Linked DNA regions of Rattus norvegicus. The protein of the gene in region 1 binds, or shares a complex with, the protein of each later gene. Links are inferred from orthologs where the notes say so. Each region holds a gene or a part of one and is shown on either strand. Other genes may lie near its edges.

Evidence for each region.
Region 2: the proteins of Sdcbp (region 1) and Sdc4 are in contact, whole or in part, in a crystal structure (PDB 8BLV), measured with the Homo sapiens proteins. The link is inferred for Rattus norvegicus from reciprocal best matches to the Homo sapiens genes SDCBP and SDC4. Residues at the interface, in NP_001007068.1 of Homo sapiens: Gly207, His208, Val209, Gly210, Phe211, Ile212, Phe213, Lys214, Thr219, Val222, Asp251, Ser252, Ala255, Leu258; in NP_002990.2 of Homo sapiens: Thr193, Asn194, Glu195, Phe196, Tyr197, Ala198.

Annotation. Positions count from the first base shown.
Region 1 is NC_086023.1:24,311,489-24,315,401, reverse strand, and holds the end of Sdcbp (syntenin-1), read right to left. Parts: intron 3,531-3,913; coding exon 3,359-3,530; intron 2,734-3,358; coding exon 2,642-2,733; intron 1,848-2,641; coding exon 1,793-1,847; 3' UTR 690-1,792; downstream 1-689. UniProt on the Homo sapiens protein: Multifunctional adapter protein involved in diverse array of functions including trafficking of transmembrane proteins, neuro and immunomodulation, exosome biogenesis, and tumorigenesis.
Region 2 is NC_086021.1:173,575,905-173,579,717, reverse strand, and holds part of Sdc4 (syndecan-4 precursor), read left to right. Parts: intron 1-618; coding exon 619-817; intron 818-3,465; coding exon 3,466-3,617; 3' UTR 3,618-3,813. UniProt on the Homo sapiens protein: Cell surface proteoglycan which regulates exosome biogenesis in concert with SDCBP and PDCD6IP.

The DNA.
Region 1 (3,913 bases):
ACTGTGTATAGCAATGGTTTATATTTCATTATGCTACGAAATGTTCATCTTTTCTACATTAAAAATATTTTTCTGTAATGAAAGCACTTTCTCCCTTGTCTTATTTAAATAATCACAAGTACTAATCCTTCTACAAAACCATACTTAATGACACAAATACAATTTCATTTCTTTTGGACCTACATTCAGAACAAGTCCATAGAGCAAGGTAGATAATCAAACTGGGAATTATAAATTTCCAACAAGGTAGCCTATATAGAGCCTGCAAAGATTTTTTTTTTTTCCGTTCAGTCTCTGAACAGCAGCTACAAATTTTCTGTGCTATTGGAAGCATGGTTACAGTGAAAAGGACAAATTCTTGAGCCAGACTAAAGTAGTAGAACCCCGAGTTAGTTTTAAGTGTCACTAATACATGTGGATGGTCTCTGGCTTTACTAGGGACCCAGCAGCCTTTCCAGGTTCCTTTGACGCCCGGTATGCAGGGAGAAGGTGGCCACAGGCTGGGCATCTAGGCCTCCCAGCAAGTGTGGTCCCATGACATCAAGTGTGCAGGGTGAAGAGGGCCACGGCCTGGCCAATAAAGACTCCCAGCTAGTGTACTGCCAGACAGTCTGAGCTCTAGGACTGTCTTAAGAGACCCTGGGTGTCAGGCAACCTCACAGTAAGGACTGATGCAATCACAGACAGACTGACATTTAATATTTTTATACATTTAATAGGATAATATCACATAAAATAATAAGATAGGCACAAACTAAGAAGGAAAGAGTCAGGATAAAGTGTCATTGCCATTTTTGTTTGCAGGATAGAGTCAGAAAATGGAACAAACTGAGATGACTAGGGAAACATTCTAAACCCACCCCAACCTAGCTAAAGTTACATAATGTTAGGACTCAAGTGCCAAATTAGATATTACCCACTTAATCTACGAGTGAAAAAGAGACTCCAAAATTTATCCTATTTAGTATAACAACTTTTACATGAAATATATAGCAATTTGTATCTCAGAAAGCAATACGGCAACTCTTAGGCGTTTCCTTTATGCAGTGACTAGAAAATCTTGGTACAGCTAGGCAGCTCTGCGACACCAGTAAGCTGCTCAGGGCTAGCATAGAACAGCTTGATAGAGAGCTAACCTCTCAGGTTTCAGAAGGCAGCAATAATTCTATTTTGGCTTTTATTCTAAATGCTTACTGTAGTTAAGGCGACAACTGAAGCACATTAAGTGAAGGTAGTTAGAATTTAGTGACAATCATTAGTCTCTTGCCACCTACACAGAACTGTATAATGCTTTTGTGGAATGGAAGTGTTGATTAACTGGAATTTTACACACTCACACACAAACTTAAAAAGTAGCGATCAAAGGCAATCATCCTACAGGTACTATGCTGATGTACTACAATCCACATATGCCACAGAACTGAAGCACGTGCCTAGCACTGTGCACTTCTCGGAGAAAGCAGACCAGTTCTCGGACACAGCTAAGCCTACACCAGTCATCCTAATCACAATGGCTTATAGAAAAACATCAGGTTCCCAGTAAAGAACCAAGTCTAGAAAGTCAGGGAATCTTTTGAGAGTTTCACATCTGTAAAACCAGGATAAGGCTACACCTATCTTAAAATCTGAAGACGCTCTCAGATAGAGTGAGGTTCCCAGCCATGGTGGAAGATAGACAGGTCTCCATGCAGCACAGTCTCCCTGGATCCGGGAAAGCTTCATGTGCGGTGAAATAGAGAAGTTGCCGAAGAGGAAGACTGGAAGCGTTCGGCGGTGATGCACTGTACAAGGTTTAAACTTCAGGAATGGTGTGATCCATCAGGCTTTTCATAATGCTGGGAGCCATCCTACAAGAGAGCCACTCATGTAACTGGCGTCTTATTTTCAAAAATACCATGTTCACCTAAGACAACCCCAGTTCCAGTTTAGCACCTGTTGTGCTGATGAATTTGATGAAGAAGGAAAGGTCTTTAAATGAGCACAGATCTAAGGAACTAATATCTGAGTTGTCACAAACTGTCCAGGAAGAATAGATATTTACGTCAGGGATAGACATGCGAGAAGGTGCGAGGCCTTTACACTAAGACTGGTTGTTTAACTGAAATGGACGACTGTGATGACTCAGAAGAAAAGGAGGGAGGATAAGGAACCTACCATAGTTAAAAAAGACTGTACAACAATCAACTCTTTTTCCTGCTCTGAGGGTAGCTAGCTTCATTCTACCCAAAACCCAAACATATAAACAAAAATCCATTACAAAGGTTACGTTTATGTATATTCCAAATCTCACTTTCATGTGCTATATCAGGGCTCTGGAAGAAGTGTGTCCAAGACAGCATGGCAACAGCTATGAAGGAACAAAGGATCTGAAAACTCTGGATAGAACCACCTTGCTGGCCTATGACTGTACCCTCTTCGGTTCCCAAGGACAGATAGTGAGCACCATGCAGCTCTCTACTTTCTAAAACACAGGAGAGAACAGCAACAGCCACTCTCAATACCTCGCAGGCAAGCCACCCATTAGGAACCACCGTGACCAGATTTCTAATCTAATATGCAGAAGACCTGCAAGCCGAAGGCAGTGTTTACATGTGTGTCAGGTGCTGGCAAGCATAAGTGGAAGAGCTCCCAATCTACTTACCGTTTAATAATATGTTCGAAGATAAAGGCAGGCATGATTGTGATGGTGACCACAGTCCCAGCTGTTGACAGTATATCTGCAATCTGAGCATCCTGATGAAACAATAGAATGAAGTTTCACTAAGGTGTTCTCTATTGTTAGGTAAAAAAGGCACTATATTTTGATGTTGTCCTGCTGATATCGCTGGAGTCCCAGTCCCGGTATGTCAGAATTTTGATTTTAATCTGACATATAATTTTCTTAAGCTAGTAGCAAAGTTAAGGTACGGAACAAAACTCTTTTTTCTTGCTTGAGAACTACCTGCGCCACAGTTAACTGTGTTCTAGAATTTATGGACTTAGTCAAAATCTACAAAAATACAAAGGATTACTAAGTACCAAGACTTACTCCTTTTCTGTATTTCTGGAATGAAAAAATTGGCCATGCATCCATTCAGAATGTCTGAATATTTCCCTGCCCATGTCTCAACAGAATTCTAGCTTAAGGAATGCCCGTAATCACAGTTTAGCCACCTTGGCATAGGAAAGGTAATTCAAATAACCCAAAGTTACTTCTGGATGGCCTAAGCTAGAGCCAGAGCCCCAGCTCCTGCACTTACCTCCCACCAAGTGTGACTGGGGGGTCATCACAAAAGCCCTGCCACCTAAATGATGTTTTCTACAAAAAAATGACACCGAAACCAGGATCCTTACCTTCAAGGTAAGGTGAGTTCCTTACCTTCAAGCCAATGACGTTCTGTCCGTTGATCTCACAGATGTGGTGATCAGTGAGAAGGCCGTTTCTGGCAGCAGAACTGTCTTTCACTATGGATGTGATTTTTCCACTTTTAAAGATAAAGCCAACATGTCCACTGCTGTCCTTATGCATGGTAACTGTCCGTTCAAAGGGTCTGAAGCATAAGGGCTGTGTTAGACGGAAACTTCCACTTCCTATTTCAATACACACGCATGCCTACAAACTCTGCCACATGGGGTATGTTGCTACAGTAAGCGCTAGGTGTTTCTAATAATCTATTATGGTTAACATGTCACACGGGTTGACTGACTCACTACTGAGATACCCTGTTAGTGTGAGGAGAGAGCATAGTGCTCCATGGAGTTATCACTGCGCTTTCCCTCCACAGCCCACATACCTTGCGTTAACAGTGAGCCAGATGCCCTTCCACTAAACCACTAAGTCCTTCCAGCACCTCTGGAACCAGCTGGTCTCAGACATTTAAGCCTTAAACTTCCCTGCACTTTCCACATCTCAGTTTTGACATTTTCACGGATT
Region 2 (3,813 bases), on another chromosome or scaffold:
GCTCTCCTGAGAGTGACAGAAAATACAGCCCTGTGAATGGATAATGGGACCTGAGTCCGTTTCCTGAGAAGGCTTTTTATTGGGGTGCCAGGCTCGTTGGGGACACGCGTAGGCAGGGTGTGTCTTCTCTGTGGAGAAGATCACTGTCAGGCCCAGCTTCATCGTCGTGCATTTGTGACTGTTCACCAGCACTGTTTTCAAGTCGTACCAGAAACTCTGACCCCCACCTCCCCGCAGCACTCCTGTCTCCCTGCATCATTTAACCCCCTCATCATTTTTACAGCTGCGTCCTGTTCCTCTGGTTGACAAAATGGTCGTCAATCGATTTTGGTACCCTAAGAGTAAAACACTCCAAGCGTTTGACACACACTCTCTGCCTTAGGAGAGCCTTGCAGGTGCAGAGTCGCCTTCCTGAGGGGCAAGTGGGCCCACATGACCTGTACTGGCTGCTCCAGCGTTTGCCTACCGAGGCGTGAAGGCTGCCGCTCCCCCACGCCTCTGCCTGTGTTCATTCCCGCCTGAGGCAGATGTGACTCCCACCCACCCTGTGTCATCTTCTAGGGTCCCCTTCCACCTAGCTTCCTCTCCAGGTGTGCTCAGTGTCCTCTCCATTTTCAGGTGCCACTAGATAACCACATCCCCGAGAATGCCCAGCCTGGCATCCGTGTCCCCTCAGAGCCCAAGGAACTGGAAGAGAATGAGGTCATTCCCAAAAGGGTCCCCTCCGACGTGGGGGATGACGATGTGTCCAACAAAGTGTCCATGTCCAGCACTTCCCAGGGCAGCAACATTTTTGAAAGAACTGAGGTCTTGGCAGGTAAGACTGTTTCCTTCTCTCAGGTTCTGGAGGGAAGAGGGAAGCAGACAGGCGGGCATGGGTGTGTCTTTTGATTTGCATTGGGGCAGCTAAGGGCTTTATCTCCCTGAAGGGGTGGTTGGGAGGGATAGTCGAATGCATATTAAAGGCTTCTAGAGAATAGAACAGGAGTTGTTTCCTTAGGCCCCTTTGGTGCTTTTCAAAGTCTTTTCCCCTGGCATCCGGAGTTAATTATTTAAGGGTTAATTTCCCTTGAAAGCCTGGAAGTCCGGACTGGAATTAGATTGGATCCCCTTTCACCCTCCTATCTATCTCTTTATCTCTCCATAGCAATGACCTTGGCTGGTTGCTCTTTGAGTATCCTGCCTTCATTTACCCCTCTGTGAAATGGGAAGGATGGTGCCTCCTTCTGTGAAGGGCTGTGCTGTCTTCAGAACTCTCGTTTGTCTCTTAGTTAGGACACAGGATGTTTTTATGGTACAGAACTAGAATATGATCCTTGTCAGGGGGATGTGCTGCCTTGCATGAAGCTTTAGGAGAGGCTGTGTCAGGCCTGGATGAGGGACATTAGTCGGGGGTAGTGCCACTCATTCAGGCCGCTCAAGATGAGTGGGTATCTCTATACCAGGTTGTCTAGGAAGGAGCAAACTTTCCAGTGAGGCAGGCAGTCTGGGAGGACTGGCTGGTGAGGAGGTGTTGGTGCTGCAGGCCCTTGCTAGGTATTTCCTGTCTCCTGGAAACCAACTGGGCCAGAGGAGACTGAGGTGTAAATAAGGACCCCTGTGCCCATGTCACTGTCCCATCTCCTTCCTTCAGGATCTCACTGGCCTTGTCTTGCAGGCCCAGTGACAGGGTCACAGTGTGGTTCTGCCTCTGGTCTTGTCAACATTCATTCAGCTTTTCCTTCACCAGTCTGCCTTGGTGGCTGTCAGAGCAAGGGCCCTAGAGACCGTTAGGCCTTGTTTCGAGCTTTGTGGAAACAACTGTTCTGTGGGGCTTCAACCGCAGAGTTTCACTCTCTCATAGTTTAGACCTGCTGGTTACCGGTTTTATTTACACGTGGTGTTTTAGATTGGTTCATTGGTCTTTTTTTGTTTGCTTCTCAAGAAAACTTCGAAAACCAGTCATTCTTCTCTGTGGGGCTCACAGAGCTAGAGAAGAACTAACCCCAGGCTAGCTCACTTTTCCACCCTGTGGTCACCCCAATGTAAGATCTTCCCTAGGAAAGATCCATTTCTCTAGCTCCCGTGGCCTCACCATTGAAAGGACAGTGAAGTCCGGCTGGAACCCTCCACTTCAGTAGCTTTTAAATAGCGCCTAGGAGTTCTGTGACGTGTGTGTTCTGTGGCTCCTGTGCACTCATGGAGTCTCTACGGTTTCCTAAAGTGGAACCTGAATAACTGGTCCAGGTCACAGAGCCAGGACATAGTGAACTCTGCTTGGATCTGGAGCACACAGTTGGCTTCTGAACCTGCGGCTGGTCCTTGCCCCTGCAGGGTCTCCCAGGGCAGATCAAGGGCCTGAAGGAGAAGTTGAGTTCTGGGAGGGAAGGAGCTGGAGACAGGCTGAAGGTAGCTTATACTTTTTCTTTTGGTACCCAGCAGCATTTTTGTTCTTGGTTTGTTTGTTGGTAGAAAAACTCTTGTTGGTACTTCCGGCTCCCCTGCACCAGTCTCTGTGTAGATTTGTAGCGTATGCAGGGCTGGGAAATTAATCTTCTTAGCCTAGGGTAAAACCGAATTAGGAGATTCAATCTGCCACGGGAAGGATTCTGTCCCTGCCCCTGACAAACAGAAATGAGTCATTCGGGCCACCTGGAGGGTAGACAGATGCTCACCCACGTGGAGAAGTGTACCACTGCCTGGCTCTAGTCAGGAGCTCTTCACAGAGCTGGAGGGTGAGGGCCAGGGTGAGAGTTGTGAGGAACAGGAGAAAGCCAGAGGTTTACAGCTCGGAGGGCACTGGGCACTTGAAGTAGATTATCGTAGTCTGAAGGGAAAAATGTAAGAAAGGGGTTTGTTTGCTGTTGCAATGGGAGAGAGGAAGAAGCTTGCCTCGTCAGCTATAGTAGCTGGGAAAGGTGTGGATTTCAAGGAGAAACCAGTGGGAACCACTGTTGAAGACACAGGAACAAAACCATGAGAATCGGAACTAGTTTGCACTATGACAGTCTAGACATCCGTGTGTTCTACGTGTTCGTAGACTATGGTGGCTGTCCCTGGATGCATGGGGCTAGGTGGGACCTGTGCACTCGGGGGAAAGGCAGAGCGTACCCCGTGGTAAGGACGGAAGCATCTACATGAGTTGCTGCCACCCGCCAATTTCCTTGGTCCTGGCTTAATGCTGCTGTTGCTGGAGAGTGTACGTGATGTCTGGAGAATGGGCCTGAGGTTTGGACTAGGGCAGATGTGGGATGGAATGTGGTGTTGCTTTGTGATCCACTCTAGCTGTGGTCTTACTGCTTCGTCATCTCCTGTCTGGTGGAAGCCGTGAAGGTCCACGCCAACGAGGTGTCATCTTGCTTGGTGTAGGGGGTGGTCTTGTCGAGATTGACTGATGGTGGGGGGAGGCGGGAGGGAGAGCTCGTGGACCCTGAGGTTGCAGTGACCGCCCTCTCAACGCTCACTCCTTGCTCTCCCCTACTGCAGCTCTGATTGTGGGCGGCGTAGTGGGCATCCTCTTCGCCGTTTTCCTGATCCTGCTGCTGGTGTACCGCATGAAGAAGAAGGATGAAGGCAGTTACGACTTGGGCAAGAAACCCATCTACAAAAAAGCCCCCACCAACGAGTTCTACGCATGAAGCTTCTTCCCATGAGTGCTGCTTGGACTTCATGGGGAGAGGAGTTGAGGATTGTGGACAGTGGACATTGGCAGAGAGAGGGCACCTTAATACTGACTTGTATCTCCATCTCTGGTCACCTTTCTGGTGTCAGAAGAGATATGATCTTCTACTGTGCTGCCTCAGAGAGAGAGAGAGAGAGAGAGAGAGAGAGAGA